Caenorhabditis elegans: one gene and its partners. The protein of the gene in region 1 interacts with the protein of each later gene in a pairwise test. Each region holds a gene or a part of one and is shown in the gene's direction. Other genes may lie near its edges. The genes, in order: nhr-66, pax-3 and klf-2.

Region 1 (10,302 bases):
AAGAAATTTCGGGCGTGTGAAGAAGAAAAGAAGGAAAGATATCTTTTGATCAGTGTTCTAAATGAGACATGAGGCTTTTTCACTTTTTAGGCGAAGATACAACGTCATCGTCTGGCATGTGTCTCTGGATGTTCGGTTCGTTGTGACATGGTAACACGGAGAAGGCAAAGACCAGCAGGACCTTTTTTGTGTCTGTAATATGAGTGGCTGAATGAAAAGAGAGGGGGACGGGGGTCTTCCATGTCCTCCCTCGTTCTTCCTCCTTATCAAATGCCTCCATCTTTTCTTGTTACCTTGACGCGAGGAAGGTTCTCACTACAACCTCAAGTGACTGTCTTTCTCGCCCTGTTATAATACCCCCTTCCCTGTCTCTTTTTTCTTTCAGTATTCCTCGTTTATAGAATTCAAAACATTTCTAATTTTTGCGACCTCAACTTTGACAGCTTATGTTTCAGTTTTGGGGTTACCTATACAAAAATCTAAACTGACAATCTATTTGTTATTTCTTTTTCATTCGATTCGCAGTTGATTACTTATTGATATCTCTAAAATTAACTGAAATTTAACTTTCTAAAATGAAGTAGTACAATACTATCGAAGGAAATACTGTATACACAAGAACAAACTGAAAATTCTATAAGTTCACTTCATCTCGAAACAAACTACATGATTCATGAAATCAAAAGCCTAACCACGAGAAAGTGATTTGATTTTCTTGCAGATTTTTGATTCACGACAAATGATTTGAAGGGCCACTTGTTTTAATGAACAATCACAAGATGATGTGACCTTTTATGTGTCGTTGTGTCTAGTATCATTTTATCAGTTTTGCCTGTGTTGAATTTCTAAAACAAACAGTTGAAGGTACAACAAAAAAGAGATTTTTAAGTTTAAAATGTAAAAGTTGAAATTTAAAATCCAAATAAATTTCTAACAGAAAATTTGGAAAAAAGCTTAAATCAAAAAATGTCTGTGAATACAATTGCTCTCATAATTAATTAATTCGGTATTTTGCTCTAGATTCATACTCATCTTCAAATTGGCTATTTTGCTTTTCATTTACTCTTTCTTTTCAATTTTAAATTAAAAACCCGATTCGATAAATCTCCGCATTCTGACCTTGTTTCGTTGTGTGCCCTTTTACGGTTCTGCATAGATACTTTTATTGTAAATTTCCTATCGTTCAGAATCGATTATAATTTCTATCAGTAATTTGTTAAGGATTTTGTTAATTATTTATGTTTATTTATCCTTCTGGTTGGTCAAAAAGGATTTTAATGTTAAAACGTTGCGTTAACATAAGCAACATATCGCAAATTGATTTTCAATAGTTTTCTCTTATCTCAAATGATATTGAAGCTTTTTAAATCTTAAGATAAATTAATGATACAAATATTATCAAAAGTCCAAATTTTTCACACGTCATGAAAATGTTTTTTGTAAGAAATATTTATCGTTGTCCTCTTTCAAGCTATGAGATGACGAACAAGTTTGTGGCCAAGTTTTCCACTGCTCATCTAAAAAATCAAATAACTTTCAAAAAGTATATATTTTATCTTATATGTTAATAAATATCATTAATTTTCTTTTCAACTTTTCAAATGATAAAACTTTCTCCAAAACCGACTCATAAAATAACTCCGTTACCCAATAAAATGTACCGAGTGTCCAGGTCCACCAAAAAGATCCTATTTTTCGGGTATCTTATCTATGTTATTATTCCATCTTTTCCGATTTTATAATAAGGTGAAAACAGTCAATATAATAAAGAAATAGGGTATATTCATAATTACATCCTATTATTTCTTCAAACTTTTCATCCTTATTTTCTTATCATTCATTTGATCTATATGTATTACCGCCCATCTATCTAGGCTTCACCTCATGAAATAATATTCTTGTTTCTTTAACTGCACTTATACAATCATATACACACATACGCCCATACAGTTATCGTGTTTTGTAGCAGTTTCGACGTATTGAATGAGAGATAGTCAAATATTGAGCATGTTGTAGTTTGTACACAGCTTTTCATCACAGACATCAACTTTCTCAAGTTTGCAAACAAAAACAATAAGTTTAAAATGTAAATAAGAAAACTACATTCAATTTCCAAGAAGCTCCGCCTATTTTGCTGCACTCGTTCTATTGGACAAACTTGATACACAGACTCCGAATAAATCTTTCTATCTTCTTTGTCAAACGAAAGTTTATACTTTGAAGGTAGTTTTTTTTAATATTTCAACCTAGATATCTTCTCGGCATTTTTCTAGTCTTTGGCTTTTATGGGGTACTTCTCTGCAGGCTCCAGGCGTGGGACTCTAATTTTTGGTAATTATGAAGTGTAGATTTACTAGGTCTTGCACGCGGATTAATTTTTACCATATACGTTTTACTGCAAAATTAGGCTGTTGTGTTTTTAAAGCTTCCCGAATGTGACCGAATGGGAAAAATTACATGTAATCTCTACATATAGTTTCAAATTGAAAGCAAACCGGTTAGAATATGCACTCAACGTAGGTACGACTTTGCAATCATGTCTAGTTTCTAGGCAACCTTACGTACCTACTTTCAATGTACATACATAAACATTTTTCATTCTTTCTCAACAAGAGATGGGTAAATCTTAAGCTTTCCACTTGGTTAAAAATAATTAAGACACACCGTTGGGAAAAAATGATTTGAAAAACCCCTTTAAGAATCTTCTTTTTAGAATAATTTGTTTATTTTTTTAATGTTCTAGCCTAAAAACTAAACATACTTTCAATCTGATCTACTTTAGAATTAATTTTTTTGAGTGTACATTAGTAGATTAGACTGGTCTCTAGAATATTTTCTATAACAATTTTTTTAAACACTTTCTCTTGTAATTTTCTTTTCGGTTTTTTTCAACGATTCGAAGATGTTCGATCGGTTGTCCGAATTCCGTGTTGATTGTTGTCTAGTCTTAGAATATCCTTCCCGCCTTTCAATCCATATCTCATTCATCTGTCTTGTATGGTTCAATATTTCAAACATGGAACCTCTGATTCTTACATCGCCCGATTTGAAGAGATTTTTAATACTCAAAAATTCAAGATTTTATGTTTTTACGAATCCTTCTGAATCACTTTCTTAAAACCGTACAATTGACATTGTCTTTTGTTTTTTCTCGTTTGGTTTTCTTGATTCGTCATGATTCGTTTCAAATACAAAACCGTCTCTTGCTTGCTACCAACCGTTTGTCCCATTTTTGTTTTTTATGATGAAAGCGAATTTTATACAGTATGATGCCTCTTTTTTCGAATATTGTAGGAAATTTTGTTGGATACTTGAATTGATTTTTAATAGAAAGTTTTCAATTGTTCATGTTCAAATCAATTATAAACAAAAGGCTTGGACCAAAGATAACTACTTCCTATGTTTTAAATTGAAACCAATAATCAAAATGAAGGCGATAATTGATTTTTTATTTTTATTTTCCGGATTTCGAGCGAGACTCAACTCTCAAACTCAAACTCGCGTCATTAAGATAAACGAGCATCTACACTTTTGGTTGCAAAAACTGCAAAAAAATTTTTTTTTAAACTATTTCCCAATTGATAATGCTTTCAAGTACATTTAAATGAACGTCTTCAAATATCAGCAAGCAAATTACAGTAACATTTCAATTCATGTTTATTTAGTTATACCAGAAAAAGTGCACCTGCCATTTACGCACTGTTTTATGGATTGAATCCATGACTTCTAGGCAGGTAGGCATGAAGTCCGAAATCTTGCTGCTGACTTGAATGAATCCCTAAACGAAAGCTGTCAAATACTTGAAAGAACACATTTGTATTCTTTTTTAATGTGCTTCTCGGAAAATTTTGATTTTTAAATGTTTTCTGCTACACTACGAAAATTTTCATAATATTCGCTAAATTTGCACGTGTTCAGTGAGCCTAACAACGCGACATGTCTACAAATATCTAGACACGAATGTATTTCTAACATTTGAATTTTTCAACTTCTTATGAGAGAAAGTCTTATGAGAAAAATCAAACGATGAACAGCTGAAGCATAACAGAAAATAAAAACATTTTTTCATTTCGACTATAGTTATAATTATTTACCCACAATGCCTGATTTCTCGAATTTTCATATTTTTTGTTCTTCTCTAAAATCTCTAACAATAGCCAAAATGTAGTCTGTTTTAAAGTTATTATGCGAGAAGCTGTGCACATATCCCATCTCGAGCCCCTTTTGTATGCACACTGCTGAGCATCAGAACGGACGGTATGCTGCACATCCCTCGTGACTGCGTATAATATCCACCCGATTTTTGTGTGATTAGCTGCAGAATATCGTATATCGAGGCGCGTTTTCCATTTGTGGCGATAATGCACATTTTTACTGTTGAATTCTCTTTTGAGGCTCCATAAACCACAAATAATGCGACGATCGTGTATTACAAATGTTCGACAACTGTGATTTCTCTGATTTCATCTTACTGTAGAAATAATTTCAAACTTCGCGCACAAATGGATTTCACCAGAGCGCACTTGCTGTATTCTTCGGTAGCAAATTTTTTCCAGCGAAAAGCATTTCGAAAAGCCTGTAAGCTTTCGTGAAATGAGATAATTTTTCGTGAAAAACGTTTCTACAATTTTTATCAATTTATTTATTTCAACATCTTCAAAAACATGTTACGTTCTTAAAAAAATACCTTTTAAAATTTACTATTAGCGAAAAATTGCTGAAAATTTTTGTTTTCTAAGATTATTTTTGTCCCGATGGTGTCGTCGTCACAACATCTCATACATATATACAGATAAAGAATAAAAGCGAATCCATTAGATTGGCGCATTTGATTTCTCGTTCAATCCGTCCTTTTTCTGCTGATCTTTCACGTGTCTCCTGCCGGCGGCCCCGCCCATTTTCTCATACTTTCAATTTTCAAGGTCCTTTTGTCAGTTCAGTATTCTAATTTTCCTCGTTCCTCGATGGCCTTCCGGTTACCTTGCTCTTGTTACAAAGCTCTCGCGAGCAAACTTCAGCCCGCCTCTTTTTTGAGAACTCGACTTGTGCTCGCCTGCTCTCTGTTGAGCTCAATTTATTCATTATTCTGATCGCAATTTTGTTTCGAATTAATAAAATTAGAAACGTCAACTATTTTCAGATTTCTTTCAGACATCTTCTATGGAATGCCGCCAATCAATGAGCCCACAGCGACGACAACATCAGCATCGTCGGTGTGGCAAGGAATGACACAGGTTTGCATAAAAATTGAATTTTATAAAGTTTAATATCAAATTTCCTATTAATATTAAATAGAATTCTATAAAATTTTATGCTTACAATAAAAAAATTGATTTTTTAAATTGTATCGTAGTCTCTGGCACAACGCAGGTAAATCGTTGCGAGACCAAGCCTTCCTTTGAACCATTTTCTTCAACAAATTGTTTCTTTTTTGTGGTTCCCTGCGCGCACAAATTGTATTTTTTTTAGTCGAAAAACTTGTTTCTTTGAAGAATTCATGAAATTTAATAATTAATTCAATAAAATATTTTATTTTCAGTTAAAATCTCAAGTCGACTTGATCAATATCGCTCGAGGAATTCTCTCAACCCCCGCAACAACATCAACATCATGTCTTGACATCCAGAATTCGACACCGATCATCGGTTCGTTGGCCTCCGGGAAATCCCAGACGCCAATTCTCACAGCGACAATGACTCCACAAATCGGTACGGTAGATTGTTATTGTCAATCAAGAAAAATGGGGGAGAAATGCGCGGGAGAAATTGAGTCGTAGTTCGCGTAAACAATTGTTGTTTTCTCTGAAATATTAATCAATCATGCTCGTTTTAAGGACTCACTGGGCTTGGTTCGTTGACATCGTTGCCTCCAGAACTTCTACTACAGTTCGCTAGACTGGACGGATTCAACTTATTACCGTGAGTTTTTTTTTCTTTTGAAAATTCAAAATTTTGCCGAAAATAGGCAGTTTTTTGTATGGAAAAAAAATTGCAATTGGAATTCAAAAAGAAATAATCAAAAAGTTGAACCTTCCGAATTAAATTTGAATTTTGATCTTTCATTATTATCTTCGCTCAAAGTCTTGTGCTTTGATCCATATCTTTCCTCCTGCTCTGTGACTTTGTACTTTTCATCTGTCTGATTTCTGCTTGACAACGCTGGAGTGTCTGATAAATCTAATCAAGCTGAGCAGCGCTATTTTCTTAAAAAATGTGATGTTACATACAGAAGAGACATAGAGTACATTGCTAATTCATAAGTTTAGAATAAAGAAACTCAAAATCAAAGAACAAAGTCAAATAATCCTTCATAATTTTAGTTGGTTGCCCTTGTCATTGGGAGCAGACTTCTCATATATATATATAAATGTGCATGCGCGACAACGGAAATGCAAGTAAAAGAGCATTGAAACAAAGATCCGTTGTATGTTGCATGACACATGAGTAGTGGAGAGTGTGGGAGAAAGGTGCAGAGTACAGCTGACTGGCATGCTCCTGTCGTTGAAATGTGTAGAAATGAAGGGATTTCTGTGCTGCAACGTTCCAGAGATACTTGTTGTAAGAAAGCTTCATTGTAATCATCTTTTCTCGACTAGACTGAAGTTTATATGTGCACCTGAAGCAGCTCTATTTTACAATTTGCAACTCACTTTTCTATGATTTCTAAATTAGTCGATGTGATTTTTCAATTATAAGATCAACGGGAACAAGTGGTGCAACATTATATTCAAGTTTTAACGGATTTATATAGCAACTTAATCAAGCTATTATATAAAAAGTCGAACACCAAATTGTTAGGTCTTCCGTCCATCGTTTAAAGCCCGAAGTCCTTCATCCATCCCCAATTGTCCGTTCCGCCTGACCATCGAAACAGCTTTGCAGCGCTCAATGACAGCAGATGCGCTTCAAAACAAACCGATAATAGGAGGAAAATTGAAGGGGTCAGAAATAACCCGCCTTGGTAGATCGGCTCCGTTTATAATTCCTTCCAAGCTAGCCGGCTCTCCGTTATTACTTCTTTGCCTCTTCCGTATATCCGAAACAGGTGGAAACTCTCGTCTCATTACCAACTCGTCGACTTTCTCTTTACTAAAGCTTTCCTCCTCTGACCCATCTTGTGCTTAACTGCATAATTTGAAATTCCCAGACTGCATGAGAACTTTTGCGTTGATGAGTCTCGTCTCTTTTTCTGCAAGGAAAAAAACCACAGAGAACCACACACAACGAGAAAGTTCAAAGGCTCAATGTATCATTTTACGTATTTCTCCTTTCTTTTCTTTCGCTAGCGCACACTTCAACATCCAAAAGCGCCACGTGTTTGTGTTTCGGGAAAACAGAAAACTGTGTGCTATAGCAAACTCAATACCCCATCACCGGAAACTTTCCGGTTTATCATCGCTTTTTGCGGTTTTTCTTTCGTGCGCCTGCCTGCTTGCAAAATACCACAAACTCATGTGTTATCGGTGTTGGCCTACAACATTTTCTATCATCATTTCGATGTTTATATAAAGATTTTTTCAAAAAGAAATGCATAGATCAGGATCGTGTTGATTCCAAAATGGAACTAGCAGGCTTTTGTCGTACTTTAGAACCTGGCTTATTGCCAAAATATTTCTATTCAAGTTGACAGCCGTTTGCTTTCGATTATTGTTCCGATGATCCCCATTTCGCCCTATTAAATGTTCAACATCTATTTGACAAACTCTAAAGACTACAAACTACGGGCATCTAGAATAAAGACGTTATCACTTGTTCTATTGTCCAGAAACTGTCATGTGAATATCTTATAAATCTCGTTGATCTTCAGTGGAAAAGCTGAATGAGACTAGTGTGTTAGAATATTGAAGTGATCTACATTAGATTGTTAAAATCTGCTGAAAGCCTACAATTACACATTTCAAAGCAGTTGAAATTAATTTCGCCAGTTTTATTTTGAATGGTGTTCATCGTGTAATCATTCGGATCGTTAGATCAAAACGATCAATTTCAGCGAATAGTCATGATAAAATGGTGACTTAGAGTTATCAGTTTGTGTTTATACTATAAACAACCGTTTGTGCATACGCAAAAATCGACTTTCGACTGTTTTAACTTCTTGTACAAAGATCGGGTTCACGAGGTGGCCAACCGTTTGTATTTTTTCGTAGAAATGACCTACAAACTAATAAGTATTCACGGACTCTTCTTCACTCCTGTGCGTAGTGTCCTTAGAGTGTTTGTCAATCCCTCGGTTTCCACCTTGTCCGCCTGACAGATCACTGGTGAGGGAAAGTGGCAGAGGGCAGTCGGAGAACAAGATAAAAGACGATGAAAAGAAAAAGAAAATTTCACCCATTTCGGTGTTCCTTTTCTTCTTCAATTTTTCCGAATGTTCCTTTATATTGATTCAAACAGCAAGAATTTCACGTGTTTAAGGAAAATGATAGTCAGCTTTTCCATAACCCAAACAGGTGTTAATCAATAAGATTCCCAAGCATTTATAGAGTTTTAATAAATTCTACATGCAAAAATTCGGACGGACGGCGGAGAAAATTCCCTACCTACCAATTTTCGTACTTATAGGATCACTGCTACGATTACGTTATTTTTACGTTTGCAAAACTTTATTTTGATGATACACCGGGTGATTATGTTTTGGTTTGAATAGATGAGGCTTAAGTGTGTTTTGAAACTAGACATTAGTTTCTGAAAAACACATCAGGTGGCAAAAAGTGCTTGGTACTTTACTTCAGTTCTGCCTGGCACCGATTTCAACCTTTGCACGATGTATAAAAGAAGAAGCCTTCTGTCCAAAAGTTCACCTTCCTACTTCCTTGCAAACATTTTCGCAATTTGCATTTGAATCGCCCCAGTCCTTCCTCGCGATTCGACCTCATTTACGCTAAAGATAGAATCATACATGACGGAAAGCCACGAGGCGCGCTTTTTCCAAGAGAAATCGAGAATGAAACAAATAAACGACAATGATGGTGTTGTTGCTAGGCACCTACACTACTTTCTCAACGTGTTTGTCCTCTGGCAACTTTTCTGCATAAAGTCTTCCTGTTGTCCACTTCCAAAAGAGATGGAGAAAAGTGTAAGAGAACGAGAAAGAGAGAGAGAGAGAAACACATGAGTGTGTCGCCACCACAAGACGACGTTGAAGCGAGTACGTGTGATGCTGGTAATGCCTGTGTCTCCATTTCCCTCTTCACGTATGCTTCATTTCCATCATCACGAAATTCAACAACGCCTCGAATTTCATAGATCCTCCAGTTTCTTCCGTTTCCTAGCTGTTTTCCGTTAATTTTATACCACCCAGTGCGGTGGTTTCTTGTTCATTTCATCCTTATTTGACTTGCTTCTTCTTCTTCTTCTTGATCTATGAAGTCATAAAACCGTAGTAAGATTGTGTATAACGATTAGGTGTCCTCTCTTCCATTCATTCAGTTTTTCCCGACAACGTCACCCACTCTCCAAAATGGATGTCCGCATTGTTGATGGAAGAAAGAAGACAAGTTTTTGATGCAAAAACTGACCATTTCTTGTTGTTTTTCTCTCATTTACAATGCTTCATCTTTTAATCATTTTAAAAAACTGTGTTTTCATTCAATAATTTTATCAATGATCTTATCGGTCAAAGATTTGTTTGCAAAAGTTTGTATTGAAATGTTTTTCTCTTTTTTGCAAGTTTTTTCGAATAAAAACCTCGATTCAAGTAGATTTTCATTTAGCAATTCTATAGTTATTGGAAGTTTTCTTTGATCTTGAATTCTTTTTTATATCAATTACAATTTTTCTATATGAAATCACAACTTTTCAAAAAGTTTAATAGTACTGAAAAAATCAATTTATGACTTCTAGTAACCGTAACTCGATTTGCGAAATATTCCATATTAAATAATTACCGTAATTTTTGTTTTTTTAGAGCGGTGGGCTCACCGGCGATCCCATCATCGTCATCGTGCTCCGAGCCGTCAACATCACAAGCATCTACAGTAGTTTCAGCTCCAACTCTTCCACCACCATCACCATTAACATCGCTGCCACAAAAGCCCGCCCCTTTGATGCCATCAGGTCATGTCACAACTGTAGATCAACAGAATCGACAGCAGCATCAGCAGCAGCAGAGGCAACAACAACAGGCTCAGCAACAAAATTCGATGGCTCGAAAATATTCAATGGATACGATACAGCATCACACAATGCAGCATCCACATCAGTTGCAATATATTCCAAATCGTGAGTTTTTTTTATTTGCAAACTATTTAAAATGAGAACCTTTTCAAAAAAAGTAAACTTTTTTTGGAAAATGATTCCGGTG
Region 2 (10,302 bases), on another chromosome or scaffold:
ACGACACCGACTTGCTAATTGCTAGCCGCCATCCTTTAGATGAGCCCGCGATAGTGACAGTTCGCCGATGAACTTGTTTTGCCTATTTCTAGATCTAGATAAGAAAGGATCAAAGGGACTGTCCAGCAAATCTAGGATAAAATTCCGAAATAAAGTTTTTTAAGAGAAAAGGGAATGCTGGAAAATTTGCACAATCGTCACCGCTAACACATTGAACTTTTCCCTATACACTTACAATCCGATTGACTTGCCAATGAACTCTGCGCAATCGGTGTATCATCTGCGTCGTAAATCGGCTGGAACGTAATTAAATTGTATAACATCGTTTCGAGCGATGTACTTACTTTGTCCATTGCTGGAGTTGCGACCTTCTGCCCGAGAGAATTACTGTAATTTGATACATTCATAAATTATGAGTTGACAATTTTGAGTACCTGATTTTCTTCTTGTCCTTTCCAGAGTTTTGCAAATGTTGAGCAGCACAGTTTTGAGCGGGATCCACAAAAATGGTGAACTTCTCATTACCGTTTTCTTTGGCAAAGGGTTCCTCGTTTCTGCCACCTGTAAAAATGTCTTGTTAAAAATCAAACATTTGGCGTGACTTTTAACTGGAAGATTATTCAAAACTTTTCATTTCAAAACTTTTCATTCCACGTGTAATTTCAAACTCACCTCTTCTATTGTTTTGAGCCATATAATTGAGTTTTGCATCAAACTCTTGAGCTTGTAACTGATCCGTCACAAACTTCCGTTTCAGGTCATGAAGCCGCTTGCGCATTCTTCGTTTGTACATCTGAAATAAAGAATGAGATGGTGGTAATCAGATATTTGTATACCCATCGAATGACAGCTGTGGCGAGCATACAGAAAAGAAGCACAAGGACGGTAGTGATGAACATGACGACGAGGATCCAGGCGTAGGATTCGGTTGGAACACAACATCCATAGTGGGCGAAGAAGAATCTACTATCTGAAAATGATAATATAGAGTTTGAAAACGCAGTCGATTGCGTCCATCAGGAACCTCAGGAACTAAAAATGGACCGAGAAACATTTTTTTCTCTGATCCTTCATCTGAACACTTACCCGAATATTTACCGCTCATCTTTCATTCGCAACTGATATGGAATTGAAATCCAAAATAAATTTCGATGGAGTTGTCAACGTGGAAATTTAATTTTAATCAGAGCAAGATATTTTGAAAAAAGGGGGAATGATTGTCACGTGTTTAAATAAAATTTCCATGTATTTTTTTTTCATCCGTAAAAATTATTAACTTATTTTTATAATTTTTAGGTTTTTTGATCTATAAATTAATGTTTGCATAGAACAATTGCCGCGCACCTCTGATTTGGTGGCATAAGTTTTGAGCAACCCACCCCTCCTAATAATACACAATTTCTCTGTGAATTTTCCCACCTTCCCGCTTCCGTTTCACCATCTGGTTCTTGTCTCGACACGCACAGGTCTGAAAAGACTGAAATCCTTCCAGACCTGCCGTCTTCCGGCTAATTACAACCAATGCCCACCACATGGCCTAAGATTACCTCGGCTCTTTTGTCGGGTGGGAGCAGGCAACAGTATATTTCCTAATCCGCAGCAATCTGCCACTTGTCGGAAGTGGTTGTACTCTCTCTTCCTTAAAGGTGTTCGATGTGACATGCGGGGATATTATCTTGTCACTTATAAAACACACTGCTAACCGTCTTCTTTTTGTCGACACTATCGAGTCTCAATTTCATTTTCCTTTGTCGATGATGTGTCAGTCGTTAATTTGCTAATTAAAGGGTGTTGATAAATTGAAGGCGTCCCTATCATTTTTCTAGTGATGGGATGCTAAAAAAAAATTGAATGTGGTGGGAAATATTGATGTTCTATTTCAATCTTTCTCTGCTGCCCAACCTATCATAGTCAATTAAGATTTTTTGCAGAACTTGAGAAGGAGACCGGTCGAAATCGAGCTGAAAGGTGTTTGGATTACTGTAGTCTTATGATGAAATACAAATAATAAGAATCCAGAACTTCGAACAATAAATGGAGACAGCTGTCAATAAGCTAAATTTTCAAGAATTTCATATTTTTAATTTGAAGTTAGTATATTTTCTAATGTTTCATTTCAAACAGTGTGTGCCTTTAAAGTGTTGTATCATCTATTTGAGAAATTACAATAATGACATAAGTATTGTAGAGTTTAATGAGACACTGTAACACGGTGGCTGGGACAAACTCTTTTCACATTTTGTCAACAAACTCCCGCACTCAGCCCATCAATTCTCCATAGATGATGCCCTTTTCAGATAGCGGAAAACCCCGCATCATCATCATCTCACACTTCTCCGGATAGATAGATAAAGATATATCCAAGTGTTACAAAGGTGTGAAGACCCCCAAAAGTTGACATCGGCGCGTGGCCCTTAATTATGACCGCATACCACTTCAAACGATACCGCCACCGTTTCTTCGTCCCCCTGATAACATGGTCCCAGATTATCAGGAAAATGGTGTAAGACAACCTTGCGCAATCCGGGAAGATGAAGAAGGAAATGATGATGTGACACGTGCCGAAAAAGAAATTGGGCCCTACTTGTTGATTGGGTAATGCACGTGTAGTTTTCAGGTGTTTTCGGTATTAAAAGGCTATTTGTATGGGGTAATAAAGGATTAATGACTAGGATTATTTCACATTATTTCACATATTTTCACGTTTTGTTTCTAACTGAAACTCACAAATAATTCTCCAATTGTGTAGTTTAGAATAGATTTATATCTTTAGACACCGTCGGTAAACAACTAAAAATACCATTATTCATCTCAATGACATAAACTTTCCCAACACGAGCCCTCCCAAACACCGACTCGCTAATTGCGAGCAATTTATTGATTGACAGTTCGCGGATGAACTTGTTTTGCACATTGTAGATCGAGATAAGACAAGTAGGTTCTTAAGTCGGGCCGACACAAAACAGATAGGTCTAAAAGAACGTCTGAAATTGAATAATCAGATAAGACAGAGTAAAGGGATACTGAAAAAAGAATAGTTATAGAAATACTTGAAAATCTGAATGAATAGAGGTGACAACTATTTTTCCAAACTTACAACTAACACTGGTCTCAAATTACAGATACATATATATGTTAGTTTTTTCAGATTTCAAATTAACCTACCCGTAGGCTGGTAGGCAAGAATGTAGTCGATCTTTGCAAAGTCATATCTTTAAATTTCTCATTGGAAATATTTGTACCGTATCCTCGAAGCACTTTTCCTCCTGACCTCTTTTGTTTGTAAAATATGTTTACACTTTTGAACACTGGAAATGAAAATGGGGAAATTGGTCATTGCCAACAAGTTACACTACTCTCGAAAGTTGTCTGTTTGTTCTATCTGTTCTTGTTTCCGTGAAATTGCAACTTTTGGAATATGTATGTTTTTGGTAATCAGAAAATTATTTTTGTGTTAGGTAAGTCCAACAAATCACATAATCGAAAAAGCAAACAAAGAAAGTAAACTTTGTCTGAAATCCATTAAGAAGCTGTTTTCAAATATTAGTAGCATGAATAATTCTAACGCTGTTTAAGCTTTTAATGGACATGAACGATTTTTAAAGTTTTGAAGTATTCGTTTCTGGTTCCAGTTTCATGTTAGAGTTACTTCTAGCTTCACCCAGAAGCACGGTGGACTGCTTAGATCTATGTAGCTATCTGCAAATATTTTGAATCTGCAAGATCCGCACGCTCCTAGATGTCCTTTTCTTCGAGACTATCCACAGGTGAATCACCATTTTGCAGGTGCTACTACCAAACATTGACCTTTCAAATCAAAACCATCGAGCACATAAATCTTCATCTCCAAAAATCCACCTCCTAGTCAGAATATCTCTGATAACAAACCCACATACCCCGCGCCAACATCTACTAGTACGTCCTTTGATGCTTACCGCCCGTGTCTTTCGCCCTTCTCTATGTCTCGCTGGTTTCGATTACCGTACTCGAGACTATGCATGCCTGTAACAGACCGCGCATGCGCATAGGTGGGCGGGATCGCCGTCCCGCCCATTCACAGTTCGACAAGGCGTGTCACCTCGAAACTACTCGCTCCTTAAGTTTTCACGCTATATACCTGATATTCACACATTCGGTATATTGGGGGCCAGCCATACGTGCTCCTGATATCCCATCCACTACTAACAAAATGACCACAGATTCTATCACATTTAATCACATTCTTGGGCAGGTAAGTCTATGGTTTCGATAAGTTGTTTTCTAGTTGTAGTGCATAAACTACTGCTCAGGTATTTTTTAATGTCTAGAAGTAGGAGATGTATCCCGGAAAAATTTGATTGAAGAAATTTTTGGAAATTCTAGATGGTTCTAGAATGTACGTTAATTTCGAATTATTTCTATACTGGCTCAGACGTTTTAAGGAGCTAAAATTAAGCTCTTGTTAATTATACAGTTTGAAGTTGTAGCCTATAGAAACTTTTGATTTATTGTTAATAGAGCTCATCAAGCATCACAAAAATTAGATAGTATCATTACTATAGTTAGCCTTAAGTTAGATTTTCATAGCATTTGAAAAGTTTTTGAAAATATGTTTTGAGTTTTCCAAGTCTCAATTTCTTCTCCTTTCTCACCGCCTCTATTGAAGCCCAAAATTAATTCAGGGTCGTGTTAACCAACTCGGTGGAGTTTTCATCAACGGTCGACCCCTTCCAATTCACGTTCGTCATGCTATCATTTCAATGGCCAAAAAGGGTATAAAGTAAGTAGTCCGAACTTCTAGAGAACACTAACAATAATCTTTTAGACCATGTCACATCAGTCGTCAACTCAAAGTATCTCATGGAGCTGTTTCGAAAATCTTGAATCGTTACGCCGAGACGGGCTCAATATCTCCGGGACAGGTCAGTGCATTTTCTGGATGATAAGATAATTTGCTAATTAGGTCATCAGGCAGGCGAATCATAACCATAAAATTTAATGTTTGCCTACACGTGCCGCGTGTCGTCGTCCTGATTCAAAAAAGTACCGTAATACTCAATTTTGGCGGGTCGCGCAGGTGCGACGCCCCGGGTGGCACTTTTCGGCATTTTTCAAAAAATGCGTCGGATGTCTGTGTTTCTGTTAAAGTAGTTGTTGTCTACTAGGTTTTTGGTTACCAAAAACATACGGTAATTACAATTCCAAAAAAAGTAAACTTTGAATTCTTGAAAATTCCATTTTGTTGGTTGCAAAACGGCAAAGAGTGTAGAACGGGGAGTGCAAATATACAAAACAATTTTTATTCATTTATAAACTTTAAAATCATCTCAAAAACAACCTGAAACTTTCCAAGAACTGATATCAAAACGTTTTCGGCAAATGACAACTTTGAAACAGTTTTTGAAATTTTTCTCGACTATTTCAATGCAAATAACTGATATTTTCAAACTGATCAAATATTTTTCTATCTATATTTCTACATTTAATTTAATAAAAAAAAGAGTTATAATCTGGGATTGGGCAGTTTTGTAGATTTGCCGAAAATATTCGTCATATTTCTTACATAAGCCTAGCGAAAGCAAATGCTTTTTAAACATAAATATCTATGAATTAATTTCAGATCGGTGGAAGTCCCCGCGCTCGACTTACAGTCCAAGCCGTCGAGAAAGAAATTCTGATCGCATGTGATGAGAATCCACAAATGAGCGCTGCAGAGCTCCGAGATTGGCTTATTCACAAAGACATTTGCACAAAAGGAAATGCTCCAACAGTACCTGCGATAAAAAGGCTTATTGGGAATAAAGGTATAATAATGATGAAAACTGTGAAGGCAAAAAAAAGGTAGAGGAATAGATGAAAAACAAACAGAAATTCGTTTCGTTTGATGAATGTTCCGCTTCTGATAGCTGTGGTTGTGTTTGTTTAACTGTTGACAACGATTTTTTTTGTTTCGAATACTTTCATGGAAACTTGCTTGGGCGTCATTTTTTGATGCGTGATTTTCCACAAAAATTCAACAAACCTCACAAGAAGAACTTCTAGACATATTCGATCAAATTATCACTTTCTATAACCTCATCAATCATTTCTTCACGCCAATCATATCATCTTTTTTGCTGCACTTTTTCATCATATCTTCCTTATCACTTTTTTTTGTTTTAATTTCCTTATCAATATTTATCTTCACACAAATCACCACATACTTTTTTGCAGGCGTCGGGGTTCCGAAGAAAATGGAACGAAAACGGCTGAGCTACAGTATCGACAGCATTCTGGGAATTTCAATTGGTAAGTGGTCTAATTGGAATAGTCTTGATTTCACACATTTATAATTTCGTTCCGTTTGTCTCATGTCCTCCAACACCTTTTTTGGGTGTCGGATTTCCTGTTCAATCAGGCAACATTCCGTTCTTTCAATTCAATTTTCTTCTGCCATATAGTAACACACAAACAGACGTAGCATGAAAGTTTTCATTCCTCCCAATATTCCCAAAGGGGCCAGAGGGCATACTGTATATTGGACTTCTTTGATATAATAACGGTCATTAACACTTTGATTAGTATCGCCTGTATGTCGCTGTGTATGTTAACGGTGTGATAAGACGATAAAGGCGAAGACGTTGAAGAAGTGGGGGCGGAAAGGACAAGAAGCGTCGGTGAAGAATGATGTGAATTAGACAAGGGGGCACGCGTCAGGGGTTGATTTTAATCAACAAGACCATCGTATTTGTTTGTGAGTTGCATGCTGTGCGCCGCCACGGAGATCTTCAGGGAGAGAACCATGACTGATTGAATTACGGGTTACGGTAGTGTACCGCATTTTGTTTCTCCTGATCTGCAACAAGCGTACCGGAATGTCCCGCGTGTCTTCAGGCCTACCTGTTAGCTTGCCTACTGCCTATTCGTCTACATCTTGGTGTGAAGTCTAGGGTCTGATGTTGCATTGTGAAGCCTATAGGTAGGTCGCCTTGATGTCCGGTAAGCAGGCACTTTTGATCCTAAAATCTTGTTTGATCTGTGCTCAGTTGTTAATCACATTCGGTAGGGTACGGTAGTTGTGCAAGAAAATCGTAATCTAAAGAAAGAGCATGTCAAATTCCAGGCATCATACGCCTACCTTGTAGGCACGCAGGCAGGCATTTTTATCATGTTCGGCACTCCAAACAGTTTCATTAAATCTTTGTCTGAAAATTCAAGTTTAACAACAGCTTTGAGACTGTTTATATAGAACGAATAAAAGTGAAATTTTTGGTTTTTAAAACTTCCAAAACTTTTAGCCTACTTTTTATAAGAAACTAGACAGCCACAAACTTATGTTTTTGCAAGTTACTTGAATTTCTAGGGGTCATGCCACTACCTCCTGCTGTTTCAACTTCTTGTCTTCCAAAACTTTCAACACTTCCCCTCTCTTCCTGTCCCGTTTTTTCCCGCTTCCTAACTTGTCGTCAATCTTGTCATTCCTTAAATTGTGAACCACCGCTCAACTTCGCACATTTTCGCATACACGTAGCAATTAAGATAGGGGGAGAAGATTTGCGCACTTGATAGGTGCCTATTCAAATAGGTAGGTAGGAGGAGGAGAAAACGATCCAATAAATTCCATATTTTCGCGGCCAATTGATCAGGATGGGCACACGAGTGACTGGCGCGAGAGAAGATTGGGATGCGCGAAAAAAAGCAAACACATGCATACGAACATAATACATATCCGCAATTTAACACATTAAAACTTTGACATTTGACATTTGACAATATGATTGTTAGGGATGTGGGTTACGGTATGTTGCGCAAGATCGTTAGTAGGTGTTGGTCAGCTTGCCTGGAAGGCAGGCAGGCATGACAGATCATTGTGAGCTTGTTTATTATCAAGTTTTTACCGAGTCCGAGTTACCCTCTCTCCACCACAAACCTTGAACCAAAGTTTGAACTCGGCGGTGCGGTAACGTGATTTTTCAGAAATTTCCCGAATTTGTCAGAATACTTCCATGATTTTCCACATGTCTATATTTCTATTACATTCATAAGTAACAAAAATTAATATTTTCCAAAAATAGGTAGCCGTTGAAAACACAACGCAACGACTGATATTTAGGTATCAGAGACTGGAGTGATAAAGTTCCAGGTGAAAAAAGAAATGGAAACAAAAGTTTCTTCTTCCTGGAATACGCTCAGAATACATTGCTCAATGGGAATATATTATAGCACTCCCCCGCGCCGTTCTTAATGAGCATTGGGAATTATAGAACGATATCGTTAAAAACTACAGTATGCTTAAGGGAGAATTCATTTTTGAAAATCTTACTCTACTCGGCAAGTAGCTAAAGTTTTCTGCAGACTATTACCAGAAAGAGGACTAAGTGCGGTAGAAATCTGCTTTGATTTGACAAGAACGGATGAAAAATATTAATGAGATAAAAGATCAAGTTGAGCATCCTTGAAATCGACATTCTTCAAATTAGAACATTGTATAGAAATAACCTTACCTTCCTTCCTTCCGTCACTATAAAATACTCCTGTGACAGAAACCGATTAGCGCACAGCTCATAAAACTTGGATGTGAGAAACGACGGTGATGATGGAGTGATCCGTCAAAAAATGGAACGATAAAAACAAATTAATAGGGTCCATTCCACCACATGATATCTCTTTCTCAAGTACACAAAGGTGTCAAGTCTATAAATTAGAAGAGACACCCCCCCTCCCCCACCCGCAATAGGGTCTCTCCCGATCTTTATCGATTATTTTTAGAGAAGTGTGTCTATGCGAGAGGCCTACGACATGACTGAGACCACCCACTGTGGCGCAACATTATATATAGTAATTGGGCGACTCGACTGGCAGGCCGTAGTCTTTCTCTGTTAGATACCTTACAATTGACTCATTGATTTCCGGATTTTGAGGGAAAATGCTTGATAGGCGGGGGTCTGATTTTGAATTTTTGAAATAGAACGTATGCGGAACTCAAATAATTTTCAGTCTCGAGGCAGGCGAGTCCGGAAGCCTTTCAGAAAGGCATTTCAGCATGCTCATTATTCATTAGAGCCTCCCTGGTATCAAATATATTCTAGTTGCAATAGTTACTTCAACTTTTGACGTCGCATGCTATTGAAAATGTTTGTTATTTTAATTACGCCTGGAACATTTGCCCTTTCGATTTTCAACGGATGAAAAAAATGGCAGATGAAAAATATTAGTTCCACATTTCGAAAGTCTGTATAGAGAGAGGATGTATAGAGTTTGTTAATGAAAATTCAAAAATGCATTCACGTACCCAAAAATGGTAGCTATGATAACCCCTTTCAAAAAAATAATTTTCAGACGAATGCAGCAAATCGTCATCGGATGACGAAGAGGGCTCTTCACCATCAAACGACGCATCGTCTCGTCGAAATCGTACATCATTCACTGCCGAGCAACTAGATGTTCTTGAAAATGCGTTCCGCGCAGACACTTACCCACATGCCAACGCCAGAGAGAGCATTTCCAAGGAGACAGGGCTCAGCGAAGAGAAAATTATGACGTGGTTTTCGAATCGGCGAGCAAGATGTCGGAAAAATATGCCAATGTATCAACAGTACAATGTTCAAGGTTTTGGATCATCTCCGCCGGTTAGTTAGAAATCGAAACTATATATTAGAAAACAAATTACTAAAACTTTGATTTTCAGTCCTACCCAACGCTGCTGCCTTCACCGATGATGTTCCTACCCTCCTACTCAACGAGTCCTCAATTGAATCCGTTATTCTTTCAACACATACTCCAATCAAGTCCCCCATCAAGTCAATCATCTCCGCCATCATCAAGCTAAACGCTTTGAACTTATTTCTGAACTTTCAAATAAAACCTGTGATATTTGAAAGTCGATCAGAAATTGATACACAAATTTAATTTGAAAGTCCAGAATTAATTTTAAAACATTACCTTAAGAATTCACCCATTCTTCCCAAAACTTATCTAAATCTCTTTGCCTTCCCTCTCATCAATTTGGTTTTAAATATTACGGTCATTGCACTAGTTCTTCGTGTTTTCTTCTTCTTCCCACTTGTATGAACTTGTCTGAAAATCTGTGAAAACCTTTTTCCCTATTCCAGATGACGCTATTGTTCTTGAGCATTTGTACAAGTTTTGTGTGCTCTCTCAAGCATTTGATTTCCATCATCTCATTCTCTCTCAAATTCCATATCTCATGAAGTAAAAAACACAAAAATAAATAAATATTCAGTTATTATTCCGGTCAACGATCACGAATGTTACAGAGATAACTAATAGACTTCAAATTTATTCAGAAGGCGGGGAAATTAAAGTCAATTTTTGATTTTATTA
Region 3 (10,302 bases), on another chromosome or scaffold:
AGAAGACATAAAGAAAAAACTAGAACAACACGTTTTGTAATAAAGAAAAACAACGACAAAGTATATATATTCTGCGCCAGGAAAAGTCCTCTAACTGACCATTGGGCCCACAACTTTACCATTGTGATAATTAGATGTCTGGTTAGAATTTTTAGTACGTGATCGAAAGATATCAAAGACAGACAAAGTTCCCACGTTCTTTGTTGACGTATAGTCATGATACTTGTGACATTATTATTCATTTCAGCTGCCAGTCACAATTTTTTTTTTGAAAATAAAGAAAAAGTTTCTCCTTACTGTGAATTTTTGCGATCTGCCTTATCAAAAACTGTAAATTGAAATCCGATTTCGCACTTTTTCATTTTTTTTTCTAGTAACCTCCAGTACCGAATTGTATTATAGGAAAATGGAGCTTCTTCTTATCATTCTTCTGTTTATTTACTCAACAATTTTTGTGGTCGGTTTCACAGGAAATTTGCTGATGGTTTTGGTAACGCTACATAGCAAGTGAGTTGCAAATCTTAAGCACGTTCGAGCACATATTGAGGTTTTTTCCAGAAATCTAAGATCCATTTGCAATATGCTAATCTGTGTCTGCTGCTTTTGTGATCTTCTGCTTTTCACCGACATCATAGCTTTTGTGGTGTCTATGTTTATACCAATAACGCAAGGTGAGTCAATTATCTTTGATAATGAATTTGAAAAGTAAATTATCCAGAGTTCTGCTTCTACATCAATATCCCGGCGGATTTTGGAGCATTCGCGTCTAATGCATGTGTCTTAGCTGTTGGAATTGATAGGCTCATTGCGGTAGCTGCTCCTACAAGGTATACAAAACACTAACGCAAATTCTTGCATTTAAAAAAGTAATGGCGGAAACTTTTAAAAAAAGTAGTGGGGGCTCCCTGCTGGGTGAGGCGCGAAACCTCACGCCGAAGTCGCGCCGCTGTGTGCAATGAAGTTCAAAAGGTAGTTATTTGGAAGCGGCCGACACGTTTGGGGTTCCGCGCCGCACTATACATTTGGATACATGCGGCGTGAGTGATGCCGTGAGGCCGGCGCGGCCGCCGTTGCGGCGGCCCCATGAGAGCCCTAGGTTGAAGAATGGTACGTTCCATCTGCTGATCTAAGAGTCAGTTAAAAGTCAGTTGGTAGCGAGTTAACAAATTTACCCACTGGGCAAAACTTATGATAATTCAAAATTCTCACTTGTTCTCTCTATGTGTACAGTAATCTTACACTACTTCAGATACAAAATGCTAGAACACGAACGCTACAAGTACTTCTTCATTTTATTGGCGTTTCCAATCATATACTCCTCTGCGTTGTTAATCATGGGATTTGGGCAACGGGACCCAAAAAGGTAAGCAGTTTTACTTAAATTCCGGCAATCAAGCTACTTTTTAGAAATGTCGTTTGCCTACTCCCGGAATCATTGGGTCATGCCTATGATATGTTTGCTCTCACCTCGTTTGTCATAAATCTTTTTGTACCGCCCATCTACGCATATGTGTATTTTAAGATCAAAAATATGAGAATGAGTAATTAACCAACGAGAAGTTGAGGAAATTCTACGCTTAAATTTAGATAGCTCAATGAAAGCAGTCTTCAAATCATTAATGGTCACTGTATGCCTTGTTGTATGTGGTTGGATGACGACTGACTTGATTGGTGCGCTTACGGTAACACTGCCAATGGATAAGGACGTGGCAAGAATGATTCAGTTGTACTGCGGAACGTTTATATTCACGTCGAGCGCATTTAATGCCGTGGTGTATTACAAATTGAGGTAATTTGAAATTTTTTAATTCTAGCCCAAAACATTCTTTCAGTCGAGACTACCGTTCAGCAATGCGCACAATGCTTGGTCTCTCGAATGAAATATCCATAGCAAAAGGAACCACTTATCAACAAGCTACAGATGCACAGAGATCAAGTATTCAGAGACCATCTACTAATACAAACGCGTTGAACACGATTCAACAAGAACTTCATATCTAGGATTTGCATTAAAGAATTTTTTAAATATATTTTTCTTACCTCAATCACATCGTTGTATACTTTGCTTACTATTGATTTTTGTGTGATCCTGTACAAATAAATGTAATTTTCTGTAGTATTGCAATATTGTGAAGGTTAGGCCAAAAAAATGTTCATGTTGAAATATTTTCTTGTCCACGTCAAGAATCATTAAACTTCCGAAATGTACCAGCATTCTAAAATAATTTTTGAAAGTATGGTACGAGATCTTTTTGTCAATTTTGATTGCATCTTCCACGCGGGTCTGGCTTCCATCATAAATTGAAATGTTAGAGTTTGCCGAACTAGGCCATTTTGGCTCGGCCGCATCTTGGGTAGATTTACGGAGCGTTGAGTGCCGCGTCGCGGATTGGTTTTTGTTGTAAAACTGAATTTTTTTTTGTCCCTTTAGAGTACTCGACTTTTACACGCGTCATCTCCGGCAGGCGATTGTCAATGGAGCGCGAAAAATGCAACCAAGAAGGTCAGAATTACGATTGTGTTGGGAGTTATTTTGTATATTGTATCGTTTTCAAGATAAGCTGACTAATGAGGTCCTATTATATGTAATAGATTATCATATCTAGAAACAAGATAATTCTGGAAAAGATTTTTGATTATTCTTAGATAGTCTTGTTTTTTATGTACTTATCTGCGAAAACTAGAAATATTTTTAACGACTATTATACTAAAGTTATTATATATATTTTTTAAGGGATTCTTAGAATTCACCTATTTTCATAATACAAATTATAGAGGATATAAAAAATACCTATATAATAGATTGTAGTTATTGTATTTTCTCACTTCCGTTGTCTCAAAAAATGGAACCTCTTCTAATTATCCTTTTCGTTATTTATTGTACAGTTTTTGTAATTGGGACTACTGGAAATTTGATTATGGTCCTGGTGACATATTATTGCAAGTAAGTACATCAACAATTTAAATTTAAAAAAAACAAATTTCAGAAATCTCCGGTCAATTTGCAACGTCCTTATTGGTTTGTGTTGCTTTTACGATCTATTACTTGCTGTTCAATTTTAAAAACCAGATTCCAAAAATCGAATGAAAATTGTTTACGACTCATCTTGCACTTTTAAACACGCAAAAATGTAGAGTGTCAGACAAAAAGATACATTGCCACTAAATTTGTATGTCTATGTAAATATATATGTGTATATATAAATATATTTCAGAACATATGTACATACTTGTTTACTCACATCTGAATTCTCTTCGAGATCTTCTAATATTTTTATTAGTTTTTTTTGTCAAAACTCAAAATCCTGACGGTTACAATTTTTACAAAGAATTAGGTTGCTGGAGTTGCCTCAGTTAAAACCATACTGCGAGTTTTACCAGTCGAACACACCTTTCCATTATCTCAATATATCAAACATTAATCAATCATAAAACTGATATGGTCCCGCCGCAGTTGAAAAAAAGGAGACCGCCCGTCCAAACAATATTCTCAAGTACGTTTACATACCTAGTCGGCACTTTTAACAGTAATCACTGCTTCCTCCTCTTCCGCACCCACTTACTGGATTGTTCGCACCCGTAAAATCATAACTTCCCGACTGTAGCAAGGCGAGGCGGTAGGGAAGAGGGTACTAAAATTGGAGGTGGGAGGGGGGGGACGTTTGGATAAACACAGCATTGGGGTATCATTTTAGAGTACTGTAAGTGATACTGTTTGTGGATATGTATAGTTTTTTTTTTCAATCTAGCGTCTACATTTCCCTTCTGTTTTTAGTCCCGCACGTCATTTTCAGATTTAAAACCAAATCTTGGTTGTGACTTGACTGTCCGCAAATCCGGCAAATAGGCAAAATGCCGGTTTGCCTATTTGTCGGAATTTTCATTTTCGGCAAGTTGCCGGTTTGCCAATTTGATGGATATCAGATTTGCCAAAAATGTTTAGAGGGATTTTTTTTATAAGACGGAAACACTTAAAACTGTGCCTTTTTGAATTTTTTTCCGTTTTTTTTTTTGAAATTTTCATAGAATTTTCATAGAAATAGAATTTCTGATTTGCCGGCAATTTGCCCATTTGCCGGAAAAATCGTTTGCCACCCACCCGTGATGTACTGTACTATTGATCAAAACCGGCATAACTTTGGAGCACTACAAAGCCTTGTGTTCTTTCTATAAAATTTCTGAACTTTGAAAACAAAATTATTTATCACATGTCCTTTTCCCAAAAAACTCCCTTCCTTCTTCTATTAATGACACCCATCTCCCCTCCACACATTTTCCGCGCACACACCTTTCTGCCACCCCTTTCTCAGAGAAACAACAAACCTCCCCGTTTTTTGGTTACTGTTTGCCCATGCCTATCAGTTTTGACATGCTATCATAAAATGGCACTTGCAGGGCATATGTGCGCCTTCTTGGATAATTTTCTTCTAGCTTGACCATCGTCTTCTTGACATGTTTATTTTTTTTCGAAATGCCCAAAAGTGTCGTAATCTTTAGATCAAACATATCATGACCACCATCTACACATGCTCAAGTTTTCTGTATTTTCTATTCTTGGGGGGAAAGAAAAGTTTGCTCAAGTTTTCTGTTTGTTATCATAGGAGTGACCGGTCTGGTGTCACCACACCCCTTTTTTGGAGCCTGGGGAGCTCACTTTTTTGTAGACCAGAAGAGGTGTGTATATTCGCTTAGGATGTTTATTTTTGTGGAAACATTAGTCATTTTTCTTTAGTTTCACGATAGATGCTCTACTAATGAAGGCACGTATTGTAATCTAGCATTAACATTGTTTTGTTCTTTGTGGTGAGTACATAGGTATTTTGTTTTTAGTGAGTTAGTTCCTACGTGTTCAGTGCATTGAGAGTTAGAGCCTTATAGTTAGTAGTTAGTTCCCAGAATTTCGAACTTGAAAGTTCTTAAAAATGGAGCAGCGCCATTGGGGAAAATGCTAAAAACAACTCCTATGGTGTCAAAAATGACCGAATATCAAAATAAAACTTTCAAAAAAATTTTGAAATTTTTCTATTTACTGTCAAAAACTGACAAGTGCTCATTCTTTGCCACTCATAATTTTAGAAGTCGGAAAAAAATTTCTTGCATTTTTTATATTTTCATTTTGTTTTAATTATTTGTTTTAAAAAATTATAGGGGTCGGAACATGCGACACTGCATTGAATTTCCTCAAAGGCTCATATTTTTCAATATTTTGGCAATGTGCCAAAACTTTGACCTGGAATTATGAGAAACCTAAAATTTTTAGGAGTGTTGCATCATGATATTTTGTCGCTTTGGTTTAATATAAGTGAGACAAAATTCTCACAGGCGCTACTCCACCTTTAACTTTCTTATCTCTTGAATATTTCGGTTTGAGTGTGAATTCTCTAAATATCAAAAAGATCCAAAAATTTTGCTACTAATTCCCCCTATTTGTATATACACTTGTGATATGACGTAAAAACATATTCACAAGAACTACAACTTTCGCTTTGAAAATTCACAACAAATATCGAAAAGTAAGCAGTAGGCAAAGAAGAACGCAAGACTTTTATGACTTGAAATGTATTGAACGAGAATGAAGACGTCACATTTGTGCGTGTGTGTATGCACAACGGTATTACATGGTGTTGTTGTAGTGTTGGAATATTTGTACTATCTACTAGTAGAAGTTGCCTTACTTTGGCTTATGGTTAAGATTTTCACTACAAATTTAGAACTATGCATACAATTAGGTTCAGGCATTACATCTTTTTTTAACCACAAAATGAATTAGTATTTGCCTATGCTAATTTTTATTTGACCTTCTGTTACAATGTAATTTTTGAAAATTCGTTTCAGAGTCTCACTCTTTTTTGGTGATTTTCAATTTATCGTTATTCATCTACAACTCCTTCCAGATGTACTCTAGCATAGTCCCGTCTAGTTCAAATGGTTACTATCATCAGTCTCAATACCAAAATGCCCATCACCAACATCATCAGCAGCATTATCACCAACAATCTCATCATCATTATAATGGAGCAGCTGCGGCTCCAGTCATCAATGTTCACAACTATCATTTTCATACGGGACCTGTTAATAATCAGGTTTTGTATTTAATTGAAGTTTTTAAATTCAATTTTCTATTTTTTGAGGTCATCGAGCAGCACTACAATCATCATAACCATGTCCAACAAACTTTCGAAGAAAATATTCCACAAGGCCCGCACAGTTCTTTCAATTTTTCCCATGACTTTCCACAACAGAATAATTCCGAAACTCACCTCAATCACATGGAACCTTCGATGACTCCAATGGAACATCAAAACTCGGGAAGCTCGACACCATATCCGTTTGAAGCCAAGTTATTCGTTCCATCGCCTGCAGCGTCTGTATCCAGTTACTCATTTTCAAGCGATTTGTCGGGTAAAGACGAGGAAGATCCCAGGATTCCTTTAAAAGATCGTGGAAGAGTATATCATCCGCAGAGCACTGAAAAACCAAAAAAGGTGCCGAGTAAACGGAGGGATAAGGCTACTTTGGATCGATTAAGAGTTCATAAGTGTTTTTATCAAGGTAAGTTGCAAGCGTGTTTAGCTTAAGCTTGAATTTCATTTTCAGGTTGCGGCAAGGTCTACACAAAAAGTTCCCATCTAACAGCTCATGAGCGTGTTCATAGTGGTGAGTAGCTTACAGAACCTCATTATACATAATTAATCATATCCTCCTCTTCAATGTCGTGAACAGCGCGCACTCGTCGGCACATTGTTCTGTGTAACGGGATACTTCCGTTGACAAACACGCTTCTCATCAATCACTAGATACTTTTTGTAACGAATGCACAGGAATCAACTACTGTTGCTATGTTATGTTAGTCCATATCAATATTTGGCCTTGTCCGGTACTTCGCGGCATCCCCCTTTTAGAAGTATCGAATAAGGAGTTGTAAAGTATCAATAAACTGTCAATTAAGTGCGTGGGCCTATGGATATAAGAATTAGGAGGGTTGCGGGAAAATTGGAAAATAATAACTTACCCAATTCCTAATGCTTCGGAAAGTGTGGAAAATGCGAAAGTTGCTTGCAGGAAGAACGCCTGAAATATCTATTATATTTTGGTTTATCTGGTGATTGACGAAACTCAGAGTCGCGATTTGATCTGACACTGAGATCGTCAGCTAAGCTTTTTAAAATGTTTTTTTGCTGCGAAAATCTAAAAATTTATAAATTTGCAACTGCTTCTTGGGAAATTAGCTTGCTTTTTATTTCTAAAACGGTAAGATGTAAAGTTTTCAACTTTTATGTTAGTTGAGCACTTTTTTTTAATTTTGAGGTTTGAGAAACGGATAGCCAAAGTCAGTTTTATACAGATCCGGTCGTAAATTTTCAACAACTTTTGATATCCGCAGCAGAAATTAAGATTTTTCAAGCTGAAAATCTCAGCTTTCAAATGATGTTAGTTTCACACCAAATGGCCACTTGGAGTTTTGAACATTCCCTAGTCAGCAGCTTGCCAAAGTATTACCTATTCGATAATAATCTTCTCATTTAGGTGAAAAGCCGTATCCATGTGAATGGCCTGGATGCTCTTGGCGATTTGCACGATCCGACGAGCTAACCCGCCATTACCGTAAGCACACTGGAGCCAAACCGTTTGCATGCAAAGAATGCTCCAGGAAATTTTCGAGAAGTGATCATTTGCAGTTACATATGAAGCGGCATGAAACGGATGAACAAGACGATGGAATGGATGATTTCAAGGATTTCATGACTTTTATTTGAAGATTTCGTTTCATTATGAGTGAGATGATACGTTTAATTATGAATAAACAGTAGATTGAATCCTTTCACATATTAAGAACAATGTAGTTCTTTGGCAAATTATTGAGTGGCGTAGTTCCAATTTTTGTGACAATCCGGCAGAAAGGGCATTTGATGTACCCTTGCCCGACAATTTTTTGAACACATCCCATGCACATCGTGTGACCACAGCCTGAAAATTTTCAGTTTTCTACTGAATTTAGAAAAAAATAATTTAAAACTAACCCAAAACTCGCGGAGTCTGATCCATAGTTTCTCCCTCAAACTTGCAAGCACAAATTTCGCAGGTTCTCCATGGGAACGGTTCTCCTCGTTGCTCTTCCTGACTCTTCACATGAAATTCTGTCAATTGGTTCACTCTCCTTCGATACCCGTCTGTGACTCCCTGCTCTTTTTTCACTTGTTCTTCGACGCGAGACATATCGTCTCTGAATCGCAATTTGAAGGAAAAGTCGTTAAGTTGCTCCTTCAAACTCATGTTTTCTCGCAGTAATCGTGCCATGTGTGATTCTTGAATAGTGAATTCTGTATTGACTTTCAGGGTAACCCTTGACAGTTCTTCATGATCTTTCTTCAACTTTTCCACTTCACTCTTCAACTTTTCATTCTCCGCGGTTAATCTCAATTTGACCTTGTTGGCTTCTTCCTCTGCTCTCAACTGTGCACCATTCTTTCTTTGGTCCGCGTGCCTCGAGCTACGTCGCAACATGGAAATTCTGAAAAAAAGTATGATTAGTTAAATGAGTAAATGAGAGAGTGGGAGAGTATATTTGAATAAATTAAAGGTTGCATATGAACAGAAATTGAGAAACATAGTAGAGCTGGATGAAATACAAGTATTATCTTATCAAAGTGATCATAACATCTCTTGAATAATTAAATAATGATTAAATAAGAAAAAATGGGAAAAGAAAACCTTTGCGGAAACGCAGAGCGCGCCGAACTGGGAGGAATAATTATCGATTCGCCCTATGCCCTATGCGACGAGCGTTTCTTCCCGGGAGGCAAGTCTTGTTGAGTAGAAAATGGGGTTCCTGAAGATTATAGATCAGTAGATCAAAAATGTTTTGACCCAAATTGAAAAGAAATTTACCAAATTTGCCGTGGTCATCATAGTTGGTAGATCGCAATATTTTTTGGAATTTAAAAATTGCCAAAAAGTTATATGTTTGCTTTCATTATGTTTCTGATCAACACCATTAATTTTGAGCAACATTTTTAATTTGTGTATATCAGCATTTGCCGAGCTCGGCAAATTCGGCAAGTACACATTTTTGAAGTCTGCCAAATTTGCCGGTTTGCCGGATTAGCCAAAAAGTTTCATTTTCGGCAAATTACCGATTTGCCGAAAATTATTAGAAGGTTTCTTAAATACGGAGTTCAAGCTGTGCCTTTTTGAATATTTTTTCCCTGTTTTATTTAATATTTTCAAATTTGCTTGCTTTTTAAAATGAATGTAGGAATATTCATAAGATTCGCCCAATTTTGTCGATTGAAATTGAAATTCTGAAATTTTCAAAAAAAAAAAACTACAAAAACGGAAATTGCCGAAAGTTTTCAGCAATTTCCGTTTTTCCGGCAACTTGCAGGCTTGCCGATTTGTCGGAAATTTAAATTCTGCTAAGTTTTCGGTTTGCCGGAAAAATCGTTTGCCGCTTACCCCTGAACCACAGTGTCAGAGTGCAATCGTATGCTCACAGATCAACAAAGTATACTATTGGTTATGGTAACGAACATCATCTGACAAATTTGTTTAATTTCCGTGTTTTCGTAAAAAGTTAAGATAAAAATTCATTGAAATGTCATTTGGATACCGGGAAAACGAAAAATCAAAAAAAAATTTGAAAACTTTTTTAGTAAAGCAGTATAATGGTAGTGATTTTGGAGAGAAAACATCGGAGGGTACATGAATATTGAGGTATATGCAGCGGCTAAATGTGAATTTCTACTCTGACTTCAATCAAAATTAAACTCGTTTGTAATATCGGGTCATGTCATGCCAGAAGCAGGATTTCATCGATTCGAATCTGTCAAAACATGGAACATAGGACATATCCAACTGTTGATTGCGCCCGAGGCGCTGGTCACAGAAGCTCAAGCATTTTGGTCCAGCGAGAGTAGTGGTAACTCCGTTACGTGCACAACAGTCGCGATGATCTCTTCCCTGAGCGGCACAGAATTGCATTTCCTTCATAGCGTCCAACGGGCATGGATCTTGTTTGAAGTACATTGCTTGGAGGGTTGGTTTGGTGAATGCTCCGAACGAGCACTTAGATAGACAGGCGTCCGGAAGCTTACGGTCAATGCAGCACTCGTAGAATGCGCGATCTGGGTTCTGAAATTTTTGGAAATTGGGTAAATCCTTTGATTTTTGTAACTTACGATTGGCTGCTCCGACTTGCTATTTCTGAGCACACTTGGAGACACCAAATCCAACTCCTCTGATGACGTAAGTTGTTCCTTTCGACGAACACGTTCCATGGCCATTCTGGAGAAGAAAATTAAC

Evidence for each region.
Region 2: the proteins of nhr-66 (region 1) and pax-3 interact in a two-hybrid assay, tested with the Caenorhabditis elegans proteins (one large-scale study listed by BioGRID).
Region 3: the proteins of nhr-66 (region 1) and klf-2 interact in a two-hybrid assay, tested with the Caenorhabditis elegans proteins (one large-scale study listed by BioGRID).

The regions. Positions count from the first base shown.
Region 1 is NC_003282.8:8,231,441-8,241,742, reverse strand, and holds the start of nhr-66 (Nuclear hormone receptor family member nhr-66), read left to right. Parts: upstream 1-5,160; 5' UTR 5,161-5,165; coding exon 5,166-5,234; intron 5,235-5,539; coding exon 5,540-5,708; intron 5,709-5,833; coding exon 5,834-5,918; intron 5,919-6,728; exon of another isoform or gene 6,729-9,906; coding exon 9,907-10,220; exon of another isoform or gene 10,221-10,302. Other genes in the region: T09A12.8 (AraC family transcriptional regulator), read left to right, coding at 91-198. UniProt on the Caenorhabditis elegans protein: Transcription factor. Binds to regulatory elements and regulates transcription of target genes, including the potassium channel accessory subunit mps-2. Negatively regulates transcription of mps-2, thereby modulating age-dependent memory decline.
Region 2 is NC_003280.10:10,142,659-10,152,960, forward strand, and holds pax-3 (Paired box protein 3 homolog), read left to right. Parts: upstream 1-3,911; 5' UTR 3,912-4,189; coding exon 4,190-4,231; intron 4,232-4,661; coding exon 4,662-4,759; intron 4,760-4,804; coding exon 4,805-4,901; intron 4,902-5,599; coding exon 5,600-5,783; intron 5,784-6,192; coding exon 6,193-6,267; intron 6,268-9,297; coding exon 9,298-9,587; intron 9,588-9,646; coding exon 9,647-9,787; 3' UTR 9,788-10,207; downstream 10,208-10,302. Other genes in the region: F27E5.3 (uncharacterized protein), read right to left, coding at 236-296, 345-387, 435-561, 673-793, 837-970, 1,420-1,534. UniProt on the Caenorhabditis elegans protein: Transcriptional activator. Regulates the lateral/ventral epidermal cell fate decision.
Region 3 is NC_003283.11:20,681,014-20,691,315, forward strand, and holds klf-2 (Kruppel-like factor 2), read left to right. Parts: upstream 1-4,669; 5' UTR 4,670-4,685; intron 4,686-4,716; 5' UTR 4,717-4,803; intron 4,804-5,894; coding exon 5,895-6,083; intron 6,084-6,131; coding exon 6,132-6,552; intron 6,553-6,597; coding exon 6,598-6,657; intron 6,658-7,527; coding exon 7,528-7,757; 3' UTR 7,758-7,817; downstream 7,818-10,302. Other genes in the region: srsx-35 (G-protein coupled receptors family 1 profile domain-containing protein), read left to right, coding at 407-507, 559-671, 719-827, 1,250-1,363, 1,408-1,541, 1,588-1,789, 1,833-2,001; F53F8.3 (RING-type domain-containing protein), read right to left, coding at 7,823-7,968, 8,022-8,505; dbd-17 (DB domain-containing protein), read right to left, coding at 9,763-10,131, 10,179-10,284. UniProt on the Caenorhabditis elegans protein: Probable transcription factor which regulates lipid metabolism.